3 linked regions of the Danio rerio genome follow. The protein of the gene in region 3 interacts with the protein of the main gene of each other region in a pairwise test. Links are inferred from orthologs where the notes say so. Each region holds a gene or a part of one and is shown on either strand. Other genes may lie near its edges.

What was found.
Region 1: the proteins of ift20 (region 3) and nup54 interact in binary tests that used the Homo sapiens proteins (3 or more experiments, as listed by UniProt). The two-hybrid records come from large-scale screens. The link is inferred for Danio rerio from reciprocal best matches to the Homo sapiens genes IFT20 and NUP54.
Region 2: the proteins of ift20 (region 3) and kxd1 interact in binary tests that used the Homo sapiens proteins (3 or more experiments, as listed by UniProt). The two-hybrid records come from large-scale screens. The link is inferred for Danio rerio from reciprocal best matches to the Homo sapiens genes IFT20 and KXD1.

The regions. Positions count from the first base shown.
Region 1 is NC_133196.1:121,856-129,676, reverse strand, and holds the start of nup54 (nucleoporin p54), read left to right. Parts: upstream 1-2,603; 5' UTR 2,604-2,618; coding exon 2,619-2,655; intron 2,656-2,880; coding exon 2,881-2,973; intron 2,974-4,998; coding exon 4,999-5,076; intron 5,077-5,494; coding exon of another isoform or gene 5,495-5,623; intron 5,624-6,102; coding exon 6,103-6,186; intron 6,187-6,509; coding exon 6,510-6,647; intron 6,648-7,821. Other genes in the region: bxdc2 (ribosome biogenesis protein BRX1 homolog), read left to right, coding at 122-195, 511-561, 1,530-1,631, 1,703-1,831, 2,014-2,265. UniProt on the Homo sapiens protein: Component of the nuclear pore complex, a complex required for the trafficking across the nuclear membrane.
Region 2 is NC_133200.1:21,950,863-21,958,414, forward strand, and holds the start of kxd1 (kxDL motif-containing protein 1), read left to right. Parts: upstream 1-2,334; 5' UTR 2,335-2,590; coding exon of another isoform or gene 2,591-2,685; 5' UTR 2,686-3,337; intron 3,338-3,753; coding exon of another isoform or gene 3,754-3,781; coding exon 3,782-3,906; intron 3,907-6,225; coding exon 6,226-6,272; intron 6,273-7,552.
Region 3 is NC_133190.1:26,249,010-26,256,698, forward strand, and holds the start of ift20 (intraflagellar transport protein 20 homolog), read left to right. Parts: upstream 1-2,860; 5' UTR 2,861-2,920; exon of another isoform or gene 2,921-2,924; intron 2,925-6,186; exon of another isoform or gene 6,187-6,190; 5' UTR 6,191-6,230; coding exon 6,231-6,357; intron 6,358-6,467; coding exon 6,468-6,553; intron 6,554-6,622; coding exon 6,623-6,726; intron 6,727-7,525; coding exon 7,526-7,607; 3' UTR 7,608-7,689. Other genes in the region: cell cycle checkpoint protein RAD1, read right to left, coding at 1,108-1,366, 1,441-1,549, 1,633-1,827. UniProt on the Homo sapiens protein: Part of intraflagellar transport (IFT) particles involved in ciliary process assembly. May play a role in the trafficking of ciliary membrane proteins from the Golgi complex to the cilium.

The sequences.
Region 1 (7,821 bases), on a different chromosome or scaffold from region 3:
GTGTGTGGGTGCGTTCGTGTGTGTGTTTGCATGTGTGTTTGCGTGTGTGTGTGTGTGTGTGTGTTTGCGTGTGCATAAGTGTTGAAGTGTTTGAAGAGCAGCAGCTTTATTTCTCTCTCAGTTCACACTCTGGCGGAGCTGAAGATGACCGGGAACTGCCTGAAGGGCTCCAGACCACTGCTGTCCTTCGACCCGGTGCGTGTGTGCGTGCGTGCGTGTGTGTGATGATGATGATGATGATGTGCGTGTGTGATGATTGTGTGTTCAGTATAATAATGATGATTGTGTGTGTGTGATGTTGTGTGTAGTGTAATAATGATGTGTGTGTGTGTGATGATGATGTGCGTGTGTGATGATGGTGTGTGTAGTGTACGAATGATGATTGTGTGTGTGTGTGTATGATGATGATGATGAGCGTGTGTGATGATGGTATGTAGTGTAATAATGATGATTGTGTGTGTGTGTGTGTGTGTGTGTGTGTGTGTGTGTGTGTGTGTGTGTGTGTTTCAGGCGTTTGACTCGGAGCCGCAGTACGCACTGCTGAAGGAGCTCTTCACTCAGGTGCTCTTCAGTGTTTGTCCTCTGTTCTTCATCTCTTCCTCTCTGATCTTCCTCTCTGATCTTCATCTCTCTCTGATCTTCATCTTCCTCTCTGATCTTCCTCTCTGATCTTCCTCTCTGATCTTCATCTTCCTCTCTGATCTTCCTCTGATCTTCATCTTCCTCGTCTGACTCTGGCATGTAGGGTTGCAGATGCTGGATGTGTGGTTGTAGTCTGAGGAAGACTCTGTCATGTGTAATGGCGCTGCTGTGCTGCATCAGCTGGTGACAGTATAGAGCTCTTCACTGCGGCTCGCTGCCTGATGCACAGCAGACCCAGCAGCATTTCCCTGTGGACTCAACAGAAGACAAGAGTTTCTGGCATTTAAACATGAGGAATAATGTGTTCACTGAAAATAAACGACAGATCAATCAGTCAGTCAGTGAGCACAATAACAGCTGTCTGTATTATTGATGTGGTTGTGAGTATTGGCCTGTAGAGAGAGTGTGTGCAGTCGCAGGCTGCATTAGGAGTGTGTTTGCTGTTCATCTCGTGTTTCTCTCATGAGCAGTAATGTGTGTGTTCCATATGAAGGATGAAGCTGATTGGTCCATTCTAGTCACGTGATGCACAGTGCGCTCGCACCGTTCTTTTAACCTGGTGTGCCTGGAAAGCGTGAGCACATCGTGCCGCTCACGAAAAAGCAAACTAGCTTGTAGAAAAGACGGCATGTGAGAACAGCCCTCAGTGATCAGCCCCCGCCATAGCTACAGCCGCCTTTAATCCAGTGTGTGTGTGTGTGTGTGTGTGTATTCGCCCCAGTGTACATGCTCAGGACTTAAACTAGCGCACAGACTGGTTTAAACTGGCTTATAGCTGGTCTAGACTGGTTTATAGTTGGTCTAGGCTGGTTTATAGCTGGTTTAGACTGGTTCAAACTGGTTTGTACTGGTCTGCAATGTCCACTAACACTGCTCGTGTCCTGCAGGTCTTCTCCACCCCGCTGCACCACCCTAAGAGTCAGCCGTTCGTGGATCATGTCATCAGCTTCAGCATTGCAGACCACAGGATCTGGTTCCGGAACTATCAGGTGAGGTTCTGCGGTTCTGAGAGGATCTGCGGTTCTGCGGCGCTCCACTGACCGCTGTTCTCCTGTTGCAGATCGTGGAGGAGGACGCCTCGCTGGTGGAGATCGGCCCGCGCTTCGTCCTCAACCCCATACGCATCTTCCAGGGCAGCTTCGGCGGACCCACGCTCTACGAGAACCCACACTTCCAGTCACCCAACGCGGTCAGCAGCGCACACACACACACACACACGCACGCACGCACGCACGCACGCACGCAGCACTGTCTGCTACTGATCTGTTATTGATCTGAGTGTTAATATTGTTTTGGTGTGTGTGTGTGTGTGTGTGTGTGTGTGTGTGTGTGTGTGTGTGTGTGTGTGTGTGTGTGTGCGCGTGTGTGCAGCACCGGCGCATGCTCCGACTGGCTGCAGCCGCGCGGCAGAAGGAGCGTCAGATGGTGAAGCAGGTGCGGATGGAGAAGCGGATGGAGGAGTGTGTGCTGCTGCAGCCTGACCTGACGGAGGCCGTGTTCAACACCCCGGCGGAGCCCAAAGCCCCACGGCCGGAGGCCCCGGGGCCCCAGAAGAAGAAGAAGAAACGGCTGACGGAGCTGAAGAAGAAGACCCTGATGAAGAAGAAGGGCCTGAGTGTGTGAATCTGCACGAGTGTGTGTGTGTGTTCATGATCATCATGGTGTGTTAATAAAGATGTTTTATTAATGTTGACGGTTGTGTCTCTGTCTTCATGTCGTCTGCTGACTGCAGCACATCCTGAGCCGCAACTGAATAACGGCCAGGTTTAATGTCCCAACATGGCGGACTCTGAGTGCAAAAGCACAGTTGAACATTTGAGCGGCGCTGTTCTGCTGATGAGCTCCAGTTTCACTTTAATCTATATCAATGTTTTCGCGCGCTACGCCGGAGGAGTGTGTGACGCGACGCTACCGGTAGGAACCTCTTGTTCACAGCTTTTGTTTCCGGGCGGACCGTTTCGCTCAGGACCGGAAGCATGGCGTTCAACTTCGGCGGCGCGTCGGGCAGCGCGAGTGAGTAAAATTAATCTAAAACTATTAATAATGAACATTAAACATGATGACGGCGCTGCAGGAGCGCTGATACTGCTGTAAACCTGATACCACTGTGCTGTAAACCACTGGCGCTCATCTCATCTGCTCTGTGTGTGTGTGTGTGTGTGTTTTCATTACTGTGCGGCTGCTGTTGTGCGTTCATAACTGTGTGTGTGTGTGTGTGTGATGGTGATGATGATGAAGGCGCTCCGGGCTTCTCATTTAAGTCATCTTCATCCACTCCGTTTGGTTTCGGCGCCTCAACCACAACCACCGCCAGCAGCGCCACGGGCTTCGGTAAACACACACACACACACACACACACTCTCCCTCTCTCCCGGGCCTGTGAGGTAAAGCTAGTTTAATATGTTCAATTTGTGATCAGTGACGTTTTTTGATACTCTTCACTCCAGTATACACTACAGTACACACTACACACTCCAGTATACACTACACACTCCAGTATACACTACAGTACACACTACACACTCAAGTATACACTACACACTCCAGTATACACTACAGTACACACTACACACTCCAGTATACACTACACACTCCAGTATACACTACAGTACACACTACACACTCAAGTATACACTACACACTCCAGTATACACTACAGTACACACTACACACTCAAGTATACACTACAGTACACACTACACACTCCAGTATACACTACACACTCCAGTATACACTACAGTACACACTACACACTCCAGTATACACTACACACTCCAGTATACACTACAGTACACACTACACACTCCAGTATACACTACACACTCCAGTATACACTACAGTACACACTACACACTCCAGTACACACTACACACTCCAGTAACACTCCAGTACCGCTGCTGTGCTCTGCAGTATTGGCTGGTAGCAGGAGTTCACTGTAGAGTCTGCTAGTGAGCTCTGTCAGGGGTTGTGTTGGGGTGAAGGTCTGCATGTGTCACCCCGCCGGTCCCACACCACCCAACCTGCACTGAGCTGGGATCAAACCGGCGACCTTTCGCATGTTAAGGCTGATTTATACTTCTGCGGCAAACGGTGGCGTATGCTACGCCGCTGACCAATAGCCATTCGCCGTGGCCATCGGCGTCGCTGACGTGCACCTCTCAAAAAATGTAACTACACGTCACAACAACGCGTAGCGCAAGCTCTGTGATTGGTCGGCTTGGTATCGCTGACGAGTCTGGGCGGGACCGAGAGCCGCGCGAATGTTTACAAGTGAAGGAGCTCCGGATGGAGAGTTTTGTTCTGTGTTTCCCTCATGGTTACAGTTGCTGCACGTCCGCCGGTTCCTGCCTCAAAATGAGCGAGTTTGAGCCACTTGTACATCCAGGAAGTGTTCAGGATAGCAAAACAGCAGCGAAGAAACTCGACACAGAGGAACATTTACACCTCACTGCCCACTAGTGCTTCAGAAGTGTTAATGCAGACCAACAGAGCTAGCAACAGCAGTATAAGCACAGCTACACGCGTTACATGCGCCGTGGGTCACGCCGCTCACTTGCTGCAGAAGTATAAACCAGGCCTTACAAGGAGGCGAAACACCATGGCCTCTAGTGTCTGTCGCTAGAGCACCTCTAGAGGTCGGAGGATCGAGGTTTACCTGCACAGCACTCACTAGCTGACCTCCATTACACATAACAGCAGCGCTCCCCCAGTTCCCTCCTCAGCACACACACACACACACACACACACACACACACACACACACTCTGCTCTCGTCATCTGCACTCTGCATCTGAGTGGTGTGTGTGTGTGTGTGTGTGTGTGTGTGGTCAGGGTTCTGCTGGTTGTTGGTTATATTGACCTGTCACAGTTCAGTCAGAGTGAGTTGTATGCTGTAATGATGACGGGGTCACTGTGGTTAGAGAGATGTGCTGCAGTTCAGCTGCCGTCAGCAGACCACACCGTCAACCCTGCTGCTCTTCCTCCCGCCGTTCTCCTGTATGTGACGGTTCTGTCCCGATATCATCCTGTAAAGCTGTTTCTCTGGAGGCTGGCAACAAACATCAGAGCCGATCCTCCCTATACACAACCCAGACTGCTGATCCACCAGGGGGCGCCGCTTGCTCTTCACTGCGGGTCTGTTCTGTGGTTTCGTTATGTTCAGGCATGAAAACAGTTATAATTAACTATAATAACAGCAGGATTCCCTTCCTCTCCATCACAGACAGCATCGCCCCTATACAGTCCTCTAATGCAGTATAGCACACAGCCTTCATCCTCATCATCAGTAATGTTTCACTGCGCGTGCACACACACACACACGCACGCGCTGCTAACATGCTGTTGCCATGGTTACAGGTCTGACCGGAACCGGCTTTGGAGCGCCGACCACCACATCAGCTTCCACAGGCTTCGGCTTCGGCACTGGTGGCACGGGTGAGTGTGTGTGTGTGTGCTGTCTCTAACACACTGACTGACTCTCTTCTGTGTGTGTGTGTGTTTGTGAGCGAGCACGTGTGTGCGCATACGTGCATATGCTGTCACTAACCCACTCTCTCTCGTGTGTGTGCGCGTGCGTGCGAGCATGTGTTTGCTTGCGTTCACGTGTGTGCGTGTGTGCTGTATCTAACAAACTCTCTCCTGTGTGTGTGTGTGTGTGTGTGTGTGTGTGTGCGTGTGTGCATGCGCTGTCTTTAACACACTCTCCTGTGTGTGTGTGCGCTGTCTCTAACACACTGACTCTCTCTCTCCTGTGTGTGTGTGTGTGTGTGTGTGTGTGTGTGCGCGCTGTCTCTAACACACTGACTCTCTCCTGTTTGTGTGTGTGTGTTTCTCCTGGGGCCGCTGTGGTCAGGATTCGGGCCCCTGGTCTGCAGTGCGGGCCCTGGCCCCGCCCCCTCTGCCGCTGCTGTTAGTTTCGGCGGGTTCGGTTTGGGCCCTGCGGCCCCGGTGTTCAGTTTCGGCAGCGGCCTCGGGGGAGCAGGTAGATGAGCTCCGAGAGGTCAAAGGTCACGCATGATCAGATCACGCCACGCCTCCATCCCTGTGTGTGTGTGAGAGAGAGAGAGAGAGTGACAGACAGACAGACGTAGTGTGTGTGTGTGTGTTGGTGCCACTCTGATCATGTCATCAACAGTTAGTGCTCATCATCTCCGGTGTGTGTGTGTGTTTTCATCTTGTGTGTTTTTTTCGTCTCTGTTGTGTGCGTGAGTGTGTGTGTGAGTGTGTTTTTCATCTCCGGTGTGTGTGTGTGTGTGTGTGTGTTTTCATCTTGTGTGTTTTTTTCGTCTCTGTTGTGTGCGTGTGCGTGAGTGTGTGTGTGAGTGTGTTTTTCATCTCCGGTGTGTGTGTGTGTGTGTGTGTGTGTGTGTTTTCATCTTGTGTGTTTTTTTCGTCTCTGTTGTGTGCGTGTGCGTGTGTGTGAGTGTGTGTTTTTCATCTGTGGTGTGTGTTTGTCTCCAGCAGGAGCGTTTGGCGGGTTCGGCTCCACCACCACCTCCGCCGGCACTGGGTCAAGCTTCAGTTTCTCCACACCGGCTAACACAGGTACAGGCGCACACACACACACACACATACAGAGAGAGAGAGAGGAGAGATGCTGCGTCCCGTGCACACACACTGCAGAGTTACTACACACACCTCACACACGTCTCTAACACACACAGTGTTAGGGTGTGGTGTGTGTATCTGAAATGGGACACTGTGTGTGTATGTGTGCGCATGCGTGTGTGTGTATGCTTGTGTGTGCGCATGCATGCATATGTGTGTGTGTGTGTGTGTGTGTGTGTATGCTTGTGTGTGCGCATGCGTGTGTGTGTGTGTGTTTGTGTGTGTGCTTGTCTCTGAGCGCGTCTCCTCTCCGCCTGCAGGTTCGAGTCTCTTCAACACCCAGAGTAAGGGCTTCGGCTTCTCCAGCGCTCCGGCTCCGGCTTCAGGCTTCACTGGGGCTCTGGGTGGAGGAGCTCTGGGCTTTGGAGGCTTCGGTGCGCTGCAGAACACACAGCAAGGTGAAGTCAGAGCCACACACACACACACACACACACACACACACACACACACACAGAGCAGTGGAAACAGCTGATATTCTGCATAAAGCACATGGAGCTGGAGTGAATGACAGTCCAGCAGAGGAGTCTGTTGAAGCAGGAGTGTCGGCCGGCGGGCCGTGAGAGAGATCTCCATATTACTCTGTATTTCTCGCTGCATTAGATGATGTCAGTCATGTGCTCAATCCTGCTCTCTGATTGGTTACTTCAGAACTGGCTGCAGGATGGGCCTCATGATGGCGCTAGCGCACGCCGCTCTGCTCATTCTGCTCTTTCACTAGCTCGCAGCGCGTCACGCAAACCCCGCCCCCAAAACATCCCCCGAATTAAAACGTCACACAACCCGCCCACTTCAGCGGGAATCAGGCAGATAAAGCCCACCACATCATCATCATCAGGAGAGCATTAAAATAAAGACAACCCAAACACACAAACGACCCGTTACTGTACAGCAGCACATTATACGTCTATACACACAGACCTGTGTTCTCATTCATCATAGTCATTTACTCATCGACCGGCTGTTGGCATCGAAATCCAGTGGTCTCGCCACTAACGGAGGGACCCAGCGCAGGGAGCGCACACATCCATAATATAACACCACATATATCAAATTCTCCACTAATAACTCGATATAAAATGTGTTGGATAACATCCTCTAGACAGAATCTGTCCAACATTCAGCCCAAACGCTCCGGAGAGAACTGAAACATGATTTTCCCTGTAGGCTTTATGACAGTTAATAGGGGATTCGCTTTATTTAAAGATGTTGATTATTATATCTGAAGTAAAGGAAAGTGTTCAGCACATAAGAGCAGCACGTAATAAAATACAGCCTGTATTGCGTTGCGCTCAGCAGCTGTGCACTAATAAAGCTCTTTATGTATTTAATTTTCCTTTTGTAATTTCTCCACGTCATATAAACACACACACACACTTGTTTGAGGACACAGAACACATGTTGTGTTTGCAGTTTTCCCCGATGCGTCTGTAAAGTGCTGCGCAGCTGCAGACAGAAGAAAAGGCGCCTATTTCTGCGTTCACTCGCCCTGATAATGCTCTGTGTGCAGGATTTGATTAATATCATCGTCTCCAAATACTTTATACATAATATTTAAAACCTTCACCGGTGAGT
Region 2 (7,552 bases), on a different chromosome or scaffold from region 3:
TTTCAGCCGCAACCCATCTCTGGGAAACATCCACACACACTCATTCACACACACTCATACACTATGGACAATTTAGCCTACCGAATTCACCTGTACCGCACGTCTTTGGATTGTGGTGGAAACCGGAGCACCCGGAGGAAACCCACGCGAACGCAGGGGGAACATGCAAACTCCACACAGAAACGGCAACTGACCCAGCCGAGGCTCGAATCAGCGACTTTCTTGCTGTGAGGCGTCAGCACTACCTACTGCACCTCTGCATCGCTGAATCTTGTTTAAGAATTTATAACGTCCAAAATATCAAATAACAATAATTAACCTAAATCTATATGAATTTATCTATATAATATTTTAAAACACACACACAAAGACACACACATATAATTCACTCTGAAATAAATCTTGCTGTCTAACTTTTCAGTTAAATCAAATTAACTAGCTGTAGTCGTCATCTCAACTCACACCAGTTAAAAACTGGCTAAAAATAAAAGGTTAAATTGTGTATGCAGTTAAAGTCAGAATTATTAGCCCCCCTTTGATTTTTTTTTTCTTTTTAAATATTTCCCAAATGATGTTTAACAGAACAAGGCCATTTTTTCAGTATGTCTGATAATATTTTTTCTTCTGGAGAAAGTCTTATTTGCTTTATTTCTGCTAGATTAAAAGTAGTTATTAATTTTTTACAAACCATTTTAAGGTCAAAATGATTAGCCCTTTTAAACTTTGTATTTTTGATAGTCTACAGAACAAACCATCATTATACAATAACTTGCCTAATTATCCTAACCTACTTAACATTATTAACATAGTTAAGCCTTTAAATGTCACTGTAAGCTGCATAGAAGTGTATTAAAAAATATCTAGTGAAATATTATTTACTGTCATCATGGCAAAGATAAAATAAATCAGTTATTAGAAATGAGTTATTAAAATTATTATGTTTAGAAATGTGTTGAACAAATCTTCTCTCTGTTAAACAGAAATTGAGGGGAAAAAATAAACAGGGGGGTCTAATAAATCAAGGGGGCTAATAATTCTGACTTCAACTGTACATTATGTATAATGGTAGTGTTCAGTGACAAGATCCATTTAGAAATAATTCTGTAATGCCAAACATTATACACTTCAGAAATCAATGCCATACAGCTTTATTAACTTATTTAAATAAGTTAAAGTAACAAAATATTGTTGACTTTTGTCATATCATTTTTACATTGTGTATAATAAACTGAAATCGAATAATATAATAAGCAATCTTCAAACAATATATACTATTAATACAAATAAGTTAATTATGCAAATGTATATTTTTACATAATTAAAATGTATTAAAATCAATTAATAAAAAAGTATTTCTTAAAAATGTAATAATACAGTTTACATATAACGCCATTTATATTAATAGGTTTAGAAAATGCTTAAATAAACTGAATAAATTACTTCCACTATTCATAATAACATTTATATTTATAAATAGAAACTAATATTTACCGAAATATAAAATACAGGCCTAATATATATATATATATATATATATATATATATATATATATATATATATATATATATATATATATATATATATATATATATATATATATATATTCATAATATCCATCTCATGTGGTGCATATAGTACTGAAGTCATTTTGGGATACTGTATTCTTATTTTATATTGTATGTTAAAACAAATTAAAACAATATTTTAAAGCCCTTTTTATTTATTTATTTTTTTATTGCAATTTTAGAACACAGAACATACAAAGGGAATAAAAACATTATGTTTACATAAAAATAAATACAACATAAAACAAAAATAAAAAAATACAATTATTCAAAGACAGCATTTAAGGCTTTAAGATAATAATAGTATAATAATAACAGTTCTTTTTGTTTGGTATTTTTTGTTTCTTTTATTGTCCTTGTCCTATTTCTATTTTTAAGTGAGTAAAATTAGGTTTTTCCACTGCACATGTACATTTATGAATAAAAATATTTCCATATATAATTAGCAAATTACAAAACACCACATTATAAAGTAGACAGTATTCTCATATAAAGAATAAATAATCTTTTTCTTTGAATTGAAAAGCAATATTCATAACGTTTACCAAAAAAAAAAAAAAGATAACACCAAAACAACTGTGTATAAATACAACCATAACATAAATGAGCAATACTCTCTTCTTTATCATCACAGAAAGCGCATTATAAATCTACATTTCATTTTAAAGCCCTTTTAAACCCCTCTTTCTGTCTTTCTGAACATCCAATCAACGCTAAGAAAACCTTCTAGATGCCGCCTCCCAAATGCGTCACGATCTCTCAGCGATCATATGACAACACCACAACAAAAATGTCTGCCTGCATCTCAGTCCAGTAAATGTTTGATCGTTTTAGGAATACAATAAAAGTCTGCATACATGCAAAACCTCCTGCATCAGACTGCGACGCTTTAGAAACAAACAAAGTCAGACGAAAACTAGTCAGAAAGCGAATATTTTAGCACGTAAGCGATTACACTCGTCTGTATCGGTTTATTATTAGCATAACTCAATAAATCTCGTGCTTTGCTCTCGAAAAAGTTCAAATGGAGCCCACAGCTTCGGGAATATTCTGTAACAGGATGCTCAGTATGGTGAACTCTGAGGATGTGAACGCCATCATTCAAGCCCAGAGACATATGTGAGTATCCCTGTCTAGTGAAATTGAGGTAAAATTCGGATTATATTCACACATCCAGACTTTCTCCTTAACAGTATAACTTCAGAAAAGTGTCGTTTTCAAATTCTTAACAGTGGAATCATATTAGCAGCCAATGACTATCAAAATGCAACATTGTTCACAGTCAAATAAATAGTGCTAATGTTGTTTTCAAGTCACACCAAAGTCCCTGTAAGGCATATTGTATTCTATGTATTCTATAGTCTTTGTGATTTCATATAATTCATTTTCTTGTCGGCTTAGTCCCTTTATTAATCCGGGGTCACCATAGCGGAATGAACCGCCAACTTATCCAGCAAGTTTTTACGCAGCGGATGCCCTTCCAGCCACAACCCATCTTTGGGAAACATCCACACACACATTTACACACTCGTACACTACGGACAATTTAGCCTACCCTATTCACCTGTACCGCATGTCTTTGGACTGTGGGGGAAACCGGAGCATCCGGAGGAAACCCACACGAAGGCAGGGAGAACATACAAACTCCACACAGAAATGCCAACTGAGCCGAGGTTCGAACCAGCGACCCAGAGACCTTCTTGCTGTGAGGCAACAGCACTACCTATTGCACCACTGCCTCGCCCTGATTTCGATTATTCAAATTACCACGGTAAACATAAGGAAATTGAGGTAAAGTTGGTTTTATATTTGAACATTCTTTCAGTGATCACTTGTGATATGGTCCCTATATTGTTTACCATGGTACTGGTAAAACATTGGGTCTGAAATCCTGTGTAAGAATGACTTCAAAACAACATAACCACTATTTATTTGACTATAAACAACCTAGTCTGATGCTCATTGACTGCTAATATGTTTCCACTATTTAGTATTCGCAAAGAGTAAGTTTCTGAAATTATATTATTAAAGAGAAAGTCTGAATGTGTGAATATAAAACCAACTTCACCTCAAAATATAGGAAGAATGTCACAAGTTGAATTTAAAACCAACTTTAACGTACCTAAATTCTAGTAAAGTACCTAAAAAGGAAGCTGTTTAAAACCTGTTTTGATGCATGTCCTACAGGCTGGACCGCTTTGAGAAAACCAATGAGATGCTGATCAACTTCAACGGCTTGTCCAATGTGCGCTTACAGCAGATGAATGAACACTTTCTGATGCACACCAGGACTTTGATAGAGATGAAGAAAGACTTGGACAGCATCTTCAGAAGAATAAGGTGTTATGTTTGCAAATTAAGATTGAATTGAGTGATGTTTAGCAATGAGTGTGTTACCATATTTTACTATTTTGTCATTTAAAATGCCATTAAAGTAACTTTTCACAAATTAAACTCAACAAATTAGTTGAGTAATATTACATTGTAAGTCAGTACATTATTTAAGTGTAAATAGAAAATGTACTCTAGTTTTCACCTGTGTATAGGGGAGAGCGGGGCACAAAGTAACACTTTTTGGTTTTGGCCAAATAATGAACAAAGTAATGGAGTTAGACAAACCATCTGAATTCATACGGTCAAGGAAAACCTGGAAAAGTCGTAGTATTTTGACATGCCTTTTTCAAGGCTTGGGAAAGTTTGGGAAAAAGAGAAAAACCCACAAAGTTTTGGAAAAATCATGGAAAACAGAAATCTTTATACTTGAATATAGGTTATTTACTGCTTTTCTGTCCTTTGCCAGTCACATTCTCACAATATTAGTGTGATGTAAGCATTATCTGAATCAATTTTACATAGATGTAAATATAAATTAAAACTTAATAGGTTGTTGCTTGTTTTACGATATGCTGTAATCAATTTGAACCTGCATTGTTTTTCTTTTACCATGCATATGTAGACATTGCATGAAACATTAAGGTCATAAAAATTTACTTAAAAGTTTTGGAAAAATCATGCAAAAGTCATGGAATTTTAGTAGTAAAAATGTGTCTGAACCCTGAACCATTTATTTTTACCAACAACACACAAGCCTCTCCTACCAATGAGCAATGGTTGTATGATTTTCAGACCTATGGTTTCTGTGTATTATTGCCAAAAGTGCAGGGAGTAAAAATGTTACTATTTACCCCACATGTGGGGCAAGTTGTAACAGACAGAGGGTTAGTTGTAACACATGCTTATAAAGTCAGCTCTCACACAATTTATTTAAAATCAGTTTATTTAAATAGTAGCTATATTTCCTCAGTACATTGCTCAGTTTATTTTTATTCAACATAGCACAATATGTTTATTTATTTATCTGTTGGATAAAGACATTTGGATTTATTTCATTATTGTACATTATTATACAATGCACTTATTTGCAGTATTAGCTATAAAATAAATTTTTTTCTATTAAAAAATATTTTCTTTTATAAAACATTTTGTATAAAAAGTTCTGAACATTACACTCAAAAAAAAAAAAATATATATATATTATCAGTCACAGTTTTTTTTTTTACATCTTTCAAAATGGTTCCATCTTTCAGCCTAGAAGAAGGTAATCACAGCAATATAAGATTTTACTTGCATACTTACACAGATTTTTTTTTTAAATAAAAAATACCAACTAAAAAAAAAAAAAAAAAACTTTTATGCTGCAAAAACGGTTTCTCCTGTATTTCTCATTAAAATTTCCCTGAAAGTTTTCAATAATTGGCAGGAAGACATTTGCCGACCGACACTGTGGTGAAAACTTCGGAAGCATGGCATGGTTAACCCTGCGCAAATACCTTGTTTTCTATTTTACTCCACGTTACTTTGTGCTCTGCCCTCCCCTATTAACCATTTAACTGCCTGCTCATCCAAATGGTTGACCATATATTTACTGATTTTAAACAATGACTGTTAAAGTCATTCAAGAAATGACTGTTTTAAATAATGGTTCACACTACTACACTTGATTTTGGTTTGATTGCAAAAAAACAAACAAGAAAACATGTTAAATGAGAATCTAAAATATTTTATGGTATACTTAAAAAAAAATAGTATTCAAATTTTTCAGAAATCATTCAGAAATGTTTTATTTTGAATCTATTTTTAAATAATCAGTCTTACACTTCATATTTTCCGATTTTTCAAAGTATATTTATTAGTTCTGGTACTTTTACCATTAACCAACATATCTACCATTTGGTAGATGCTGATACTTTAGAAATGATGGGATGTGTTTTGCATTGAGTGCATTACTAGTGACATTAGGAGTTAAGAAATGCAATCCAAAACATTTTTCTTAGTGGGGCAGTTAAAGTGTTAAATAAACAAGTAATAAGTGATCATACTAAATTGTATTCATATTTTAAGATTTTTTTAAAAGAGTATTACTGACAAATTGGTAGCTAACAGAAGGCAAAGTGTAAAGATTTAAAATGACAATTAATTAGTATTTTTTGCTCCACTGTGAGCCCTAAACAGAGTCTTTTAATATGGCATGACTTAATTATTGTTCTAAATGTGCATGAAAAGATTACATTTTTGTAAAATATGGTAAAATGTATAGACATACTTTTTTGCTCAGAAAAAAAGGCTGCATAACGTCTAATATATTTTGTGTTTCCTCAGGACGTTAAAAGGCAAGGTTGCAAAGCAATATCCAGAGGCCTTTAGCAGTAAGTATTTATGTGTTATTTTTTTGATTGGGATGATGCAGTATTATTAACACTGATAAATCTTAACATTCAACTATTTACTGTATTTCTTGCATTACTAGTGTGTGGTCAGGTAGAACGATGGCTCAGTGGTTAGCACTGTCGCTTTACAGCAAGAAGGTCTCTGGTTCAAGTCCAGGCTGGGCAAGTTGGCATGTCTGTGTGGAGTTTGCATGTTCTCGCCATGTTGGCAGGGGTTTCCTCCACTGTCTAGTTTATTCCACAATCCAAAGACCTGGTAGAGGTGAATTAGATGAACCAATTTTGGAAGTTTCACATTCATTTTCGTCATAGACATTTATTAAGAACCCTATATAAGCAATGAACCAAAATAAAAGAAATACCTGAATATCAAAAGTTACTTAAAGGGATAGGTCACCTCCCCAAAAAATGTCATAATTTCTTCACCCTTCACTGGATAAAAACCTATATGAGTTTATTAATTTTTTTCTGTTGAATAAACAAAATAAGATATTTGAAGAATGTTGGGGTCCCAGCAAAATATCTTTTTTTTTTTATTCAACAGAAAAAGGAAACTCTTAAAGGTTAAAAACCATGCGAGGGGAAATATCCATTTAATTGCTTTAATAAGAATAAAAACTACAACCCGATGAAGCATTGCAATTGATGAAATCAAATTGAAAAAAAAAACTCTTGATTTAAAGCTGTTGCTGGCTTCTATAGAAACAACATATTGTCAATTTTGCACATTTATACAAATATTTATTCTGAGAGTGTTATTCCTGGTGCTTTATAGAAGTAAATAAAGCACAGCATCATGGGTAATGTAGTTTTTCTGCAGTTTTGCTGTTAATCATGATTTTTTTTATTAGTTATTGTGTAAAACCTTTAAGTGCTGTCAGAAATTTAAATGGAAAATGAACATTATTCTTAGCCTACTTTGTTTATGTGAAGTTATTTCACTTTGAAAACCATAAAAAGAACTTATTCTTTGTCATAAAAGTGAAATTACTAAACCTACACAGGACCCTGATGAAAATGCTGAAAATGAAAATTTCAGAGGTTATTTAAGGTTTTTGCAAACTTTTCATATCTGAGAACTAATGATTTAAAATTGGAAAAAAAATGTTTATGCTGTCTAAAAATGAATATGAACATGCCTGAAAACATGGTACCTTTTTAACTTTCTGCAAAAACAAATGCTCTAAATCACAACAATTTATTTTAAATTCAAAAGAGATGTCATCATTATATTTATTATATTTTATTTGTCCTCAAAC
Region 3 (7,689 bases):
TAAAATTACATTTATTATTTTTCTATTTGAACCATATATTCAAATAAATAAATTAATTAAAATGCATTAAATTAGTTAATAATAAATAAATAAAAAACAAACCGCAAATTTTTTTGTTTGTTTTTTTCATTTGTTAAAAAAACCCTGAATGCTTATATCATATCACCAAAGGTTTAAAAGTGGAAAACATATTCTGACCTGCATTTATCAAAATAAATAACGTTATCCTCAAATAAATGCTTTTCATTTGAGCTTTCCATTAAACAAAAACTGTATCAATAACCATTTCTAAAAAATCTTATACTGTTCTTAAATAGGAAATCAGTGCATTTGAATGATTTCTGGAGGATCATGAGATGTGGAAGACTGGACACATTGTGCTGGAAGTTGAGCTTTGCCATCACAGGACTGAACAGCATTCTTAAATATCACAATGCAAACACATACTGTAAATTGTGGGAAGATTTCACAAATGTACTGTGATTTTTCAATTTTTTATAAAAATAAAAGAAACCTTGTAAGCATTTTTTTATCAGATGGAAAAAAAATAAACATTTAAATTAGAGATGTCAAGATCAATATATATATATATATATATATATATATATATATATATATATATATATATATATATATATATATATATATATATATTTGTTTTTTTTTAACACATATATTGTTATGCGATGTCACAGAGTTAGACCTCTTTCTTAACTTCACACAGAAACAGCAGCGTTGCCTGCTGAGTATTTTAAGATAAGGTGCTTTTTGGTTTAATATTAGATTTTTTAAATATTTAATGTTGCACTTAAGTCCAAAAGTGAAGAATTTATGTTACTTATTACTTGATTGTTCAAGCTACCTCACAGAAGTGATCTTTGTTAAATGTTAAAATACAGTGAACTAAATAAAAAATAAGGAACATACTGGATTTATTTCTTTGCTCTTCTTTATTTTTTTAATGCATTATAAAAGTATCAGATCGAGTTTCGGTATTGGCAGATACTCAAAATCAAATGACTCGGAGGCAAAAACAAAAAAAAAAACGTGATCTGGACATCCCTTATTTAAACCACTTCAAACATGTCATGTTCATAACTACTGTACCTGAAGTAAGGATGGCTCGGTGACATGGTAATCTGCAGAACCTCACTGGTCATGTCCAGCTCAGAGAAAGCCTCTTTAAGACTGTCCGACTGCAGAATCACCTTGTTGGTCACGTTTGTACTGCAAAAGTCAAAGTCTATGGGCTCCTCGGGCTCCTGTGTGTTAATCTTGCATACAGTGACCACACCACCTTCTTCCAGGAACAAAGTTAGTGGATATCCATATCCATTGTAGCACATTCTCAAGGCGGTGCACACACCTTAATGATAAAATAAAAACAAAGATTATGTTACATTTCCCAAAAAAAGACTGGATCACAATTGTAATACACACCTGGCACTGTGCTTCCCCCGAAGATGGTGAGGCAATCGAGAAGAACAGTTAAGTTAACCTGAAAGCCAACTGCATCCTCTTTGATGATGTATTCTTGAAAGATGTCAGCCTGATGTCAGAAAATACACAAATATGCTTAAAGATTCAACTGTTCTCAGCAGAAAGTGTCTGAATTTGTCTGCTAACATCAACCTGAATGAATGCATTGGCCTGAAGGCATTTGGAGTCCTCAACTGTGACTTTCAACCCATTCTGTGTTGCATTGAAGATGGCATGATCCTTGAAAGAGATGGCTTTTAGGATGTTGGACAGATTCCTTGCATTGTCCAAACTGGCTATCAGGATGTACTGGTCAACATCGGATTGGGACTGAGTTGACAGAGGCATGTTATTACATCTGTAATGACATTTCAAAGTAGAAATGTTAAATAAATAAGTAGTAAATATTGTATACAATAAATTCACAGAAAAGTTAAAATATTAAATTTAATTAAAGAATGTAGGCAGTATTTGGTCCAATAGTTTACAGATAACAATCGTTAAATGGAAAAAAAAAAACATCAAATTTGCATATCAGATTGAAGTTTTAACATTTTCATATTTGTTTTGTACTATTTTTTCTAACTTGTTTTGTAAGTAAAACTAATGTTGTTTAAATGTGTGCTAGAATGGCTACTATGTTCTATTTTGAATGCAAACATAATCATAATTGTCAATTATAATACTAAAATATGGAATCCATAACAATTAAAAACAAGTTAAACACAGAAAAATGTATTGTCGCCGTCTTTTATTAAAAAAACGAGATATCTGAATGTTAATTTTTCTAATGAACTTGAAAATGTCTTTAACAGAAACATGAACAAGTTTCTATCAGCTGTTTACAAATTGTGACGAGAATTAATAAACATAATATTGGCAACTAGTTGTAAGTTACTAACGTTACTAAGTTAGTTAGCTAAAATGGCGTCAGGCCGTGAAAGGGCGAACATTAAACATACACAGTACATGTTCCTGTTGCTGAACTCACCTGTTAGATATATGAAATATGACAAATTAATATCATTTTAGAGTTTGGCGCCCTTAAATTGTTGCCATTAGCTCTTCTTCTTGTGATTTTGACTAAGTTTAGCTTCCCATCAGTTGTCTCGCGCGCGCATATGGGTCTGATGCAGAACTGCAGGACGAGTTCATACATAAACGTTTACAGTATTAGGAGGGGGTAGGTTTTTAAAGTTGGCTATGAATTTGTGTTACTACACTATTGCAAAACAGATAACATAACCGCTTATTCAGTTATTTATGAGACATAAGGGTGTTTATTTAATTTAAAGAAGGCGAGATCTCAAACATAAATATATTTAAGATGCACTCGTACACCCCTCCGTTTCATCACGAGTTGGACGGGCCGTCGCCAGACAGATGCGAGGAAGCGGTCGGTCGGTCCAACAGAAGTGCCACATAACCAAACAAAAGTCAGGTAGGGTTATGACATTTACTAGTTTATTTTACTTTATAAAGTGCCATTTTGTTCAGTAATTGTAAATATTGTATATACAGTTTAATAAGATTGTGGAGTTCCCAGCTGGTTTGTTTGTTTGTTTGTGTTTATCTATCTCAATGGCAACCAGACCATATCAGCAACAAAGCGAATTTTGTGAACAATAGCATCTCTACCTCTTCTTTTAAGTAAACATACTCTACGCTTACGTGGTTGGTGCAATGTAACGACTGTGGTAGTTTCATGTAACGTTACTTCAAATGAACCTGCTACGTTAACTAGCTAATCCGTTAGCTAGCTCATTGTGAATTGGGATATGCTTTATTGCAAGAGATTGTCATGATGGAATCAGATTGTTTTGTTTATCATTGCTAAAGCATTTATCACGTTATATTGTATTATCTTCGTGTGGTGGAATAAAGAGTTGCTTTAACATGTGATAAAAATAAGTTTATATATATATATATATATATATATATATATATATATATATATATATATATATATATATATATATATATGAGAGAGAGAGAGAACTATGATGTGCAATATAATAAAAAAGGTTAGGTTAAAAAGGAGTGTTTACATGATGTCACGGCAAAATTTAAATGCTAGTAAGGCTGTTAAATATTTAGGGCATGTCATTACAGAAGATATGAGTGATAAAAAGTACATGTACAGGGAACGTTTAAAGTTATATGTTGAAGCAAATTTGCTAGGGAGAAAGTTTTCGGAGCAGGTTAAAAGTTAAACCTCTTTAGAACTTATTGCAGTTCTTTATACACAGCTCCTCTGTGGTATAATTAAATAAAGTGTCCATAAGCTCCAGGTTGCATACAATGATTGTATGGAGATTCTCTTAAAAACATAGATGGTGTAGTTAGGCATGGGCCGGTATAGGATTCTGACAGTATGAAAACCATGAATAAAAAATATCAGTTTCACGGTATTAAGATTACTGCTCTGAAATATATTCTTTTTAAATGTCTGGGTAAAAAACTAAAACTTTCCCCCCTTTGAACACAATATTTATTTTTCAAATATTTAGGAGCAGTTAACAAATCAGACTAAAAAGTTCAAATGAATCCATGACTTCTGCTGTCTTTATTTATTTTAAAAACACTTAATTCATTACAATTTAACAGGTATCTTTGAATATTTTTTTCTGTTGGAGATACTGTTGTCCCAAAAAACAACAACAACAAAAAATGTTAATGAAAAATCTTACACATACCTTAGGAACTGTATAGCAGAAAATTATAGCAGTTTTAAAACCTTGACTTTTCCCAACTATGGTATACCTTGAAAACTGTTATCGTCCCATGCCTAGGTGTAGTACAGGTGAATTATTTTGTGATGTAAGAGTTTGATCATTTTTTGCTTTGGATGAGAAATTTGATCTATAAGTTTATTTGTCGATAAGAGAATTCTCAGAATAGCATTTTAATGTTAAACCCTAGGCTTATGGAGGTGCTTTATCAGTCACCTTTAAAATATTGGCATAACTGTATTTTTTAACGTATTGTGTGGTTTATATTGTCTTTTGTACTATTGGACCTAGTGTCTAAAAAAGATTTTATATATATATATATATATATATATATATATATATATATATATATATATATATATATATATATATATACATACATATATACAGTATATATACAGTGAGAACATTAAATATTGGGACATCAACACAATTCTAACATTTTTTGCTCTATACATCAACACAACGGATTTGAAATTAAGACGGTCAGTTTAAATTTGAGGGTATTTACATTCAAATCAGGTGAAGACTTCCAGACTTCAGGATGTAATTGACTGCAAATGATTTGCAACAAAGTATTAAAAAGTTAAAGTTTGATTCATGATTATTATTCTATCCCATTACTTTCGATCCATTAACGAGTGGGAGGCACATATGCAAACTGTTGTAATTCCTACAGCGTTCACCTGATTTGGATGTAAATACCCTCAAATTAAAGCTGACAGTCTGCAGTTAAAGCACATCTTGTTTGTTTCAATTTAAATTTGTGTTTCTGTATAGAGCACAAAATATTAGAACTGTGTCTTTGTACAAATACACACACACAAACAATGTATATGTCAATATAGTTGTATACTGGCCCGGATTGGCTAATCTGGAGAATTCCGGGAGGGCCAGTCCATTTTTTTTGGCCACTAGGCCAAATTTTTTTTTATTGACCATAGCCTCACTCTTTTTATTCATTATTTGGCGCAGCTCCGCTCTTTTTATTTATTTTCTAGCAGCCCCGTGAGCAAAATGCAGCCTGCAGGTTAATGATGACAGCAGCGCCTAAGTGAATATAAGAATTCAAATAATTAATATTAGTGAATATTACACCTGCTCAATGAAAATCAGATGATTCAGTACATTAATAAATCTGACATAACTTGATCAGAAATCTAAAAAGAGGAGAAAAAATGGTCAAATGGTCCGCACGTTGCGTTACAACGCTGCCAACCCGAGTTCGAACCTCACCTAAATAATCTTTTTTTTTTTTTTCTTTTCATTTTTAGTGTTAGTATAATACTGATTGGGTTACTTATGTAGGTGTACATATTTTATTTTTTGTGTGACCGCCCTTACAAAGGACTGGATATCTATAAAGAATTTTGCACAGAATATATATTCGGATATTGCAGGAAAGGACGTTGTAAAGAATAGTGTTGGAGATTTAGCTATCCCTTTAATCTTCTCATATTTATGAAAAACATTTGAACTTCTAAAGCAGCTGTGTCCTTGAAAAAGATTGTATATTGTCATTAGAAACTAAATTAGAAATGACGTTATTTTAATATAGTCAGTCGTGAACTGAGGTGGGCCGGTCTAAGGCTTGAAACTCCAGGGCTAAAAAGCAGTCCCACTCCGGCCCTGCTGGTATATAAATGTTCAGAGCAAAACATCGTTTCAAACTAATTAAATGACATTTTAGCCATGTTGTACATCAGATTAACGCGAAAAAGTTTTTTAGAACATCATTGCAAAAGCAGCAAACTGAATATTCTTAAAATGCATTCTGAAAGTTCAATAACAATAAGTAATTATTACTTATTTTAAAGTGATAAAGCATGTATGTTCATTATCGTTGTGATATATTATTGAATACTGGCACGTCTAGACATTTTACTTTGCAAAATCAACACTGTATTTGTCAGTATTGAATACAATAAAATTATGCATATTTTTCTTTTAACATACTTCTGTTTCTGTATAATTATCAGCCATTATTGAGTCACACAGGCAGGTTACGGTCCTCTGGTCATGGCTAAAGACCCGTTAGCAGAGGCTGGTCTTCATTTTGATGAGCTCAACAAACTGCGAGTACTTGAGCCTGATGTGAGCCAGAAAACAACTGAGCTCAAAGAGGAATGTGAGGAGTTTGTCGACAGTAAGTGTTTTTTATTTTTTAATCTCATTGTGAAGTTTATCTCTCTTAACTGAATTTCTTTGCTTTTTGCAGTCCAGATCAATAACTTCTCCTTTTGCTTTTGAAAACAGAGATCGGACAGTTTCAGAAAATTGTAGGTGGACTTATTGAACTTGTGGATGAACTTGCGAAGGAAGCCGAAACTGAAAAAATGAAGGTACGTTGTTGTTTTAAACTATTAGCAGTGCATATTTGCGTTTTGTATTTATATATGGTTCACCTTCAGGCCATAGGGGCAAGAAATTTGCTGAAATCGGTTGAAAAGCAACGGGAAGCCCAGCAGCAACAGCTTCAGGCTCTGATTGCAGAGAAGAAAATGCAACTGGAAAGGTAAATATGATAATACATCATAATACATCATTATGGTCTGATATTTTTCTTCAGTTCTATTTTTCAGTCATTTTTCAGTTACTGCATGGTAATTTCCAACTTGTTACTTCTAAAAGAGAACAAAAGAAAGAGCATCACCATAAATCTATTACAGCATTTGCATTGGCATGTGCACAGTGCTAGTTAGCAACTAAATACATGTTATCTGCATTACGTAATCAGATTCTGAAAGTTAGGTTGTAACTTGGAATTGAAGTATATAACATTTTAAAATAATGAAACATACTTACATACATACATACATTTTGGACTCCTCCTTTTATCTTTCACTCACAGCAAAGTAACTGTTGGAGGGGCGTGGTTAAGCATATATCACCCAAACTTGTGTAATCAGAGGTGTAGATAGTAAGTGGTCAGAATTTAATTAACGAATATCAAAACACTGAACATCTTTTTCACTGAATTGACTAATTCAGAGCACAGATTAATTTCAGCGTGCTAGCAAAATAAACATGTGGTTACATCAGTTGGTAAGTGAAAAGTTCGTAATCTAAAAGTAGTTGAAATACATAAACCATTACCTAAAATGAACCACAGTTCTTCATGATCATCAGTAATCAGCAATTGACTACAGTTTCAAAGTAATCTGCCCAGAACTGTATGCCGTTCATTTTAGGCCACCAATATTGCTTATGACAAGGGTTTCTGAATGTTGCATACAGCCACTTCAAGTAGTGAACAGCATTGTGTTTATGCTCTGAATTTCTCTTCAAGACTAAAAAGTCTTTTTGTTTTGCAGGTATCGAATAGAATATGAAGCTCTTCAGAAAGTGGAAGCTGAGCAGAGTGAATTCATTGATCAGTTTATACTGCAGAAATAAGAGCACTGTGTTTCCTCTCTCTGCTGGACAGGAAAAATGATGCTATGCATCTTGATTCACATTGACTTCCTAATAAGTGCAA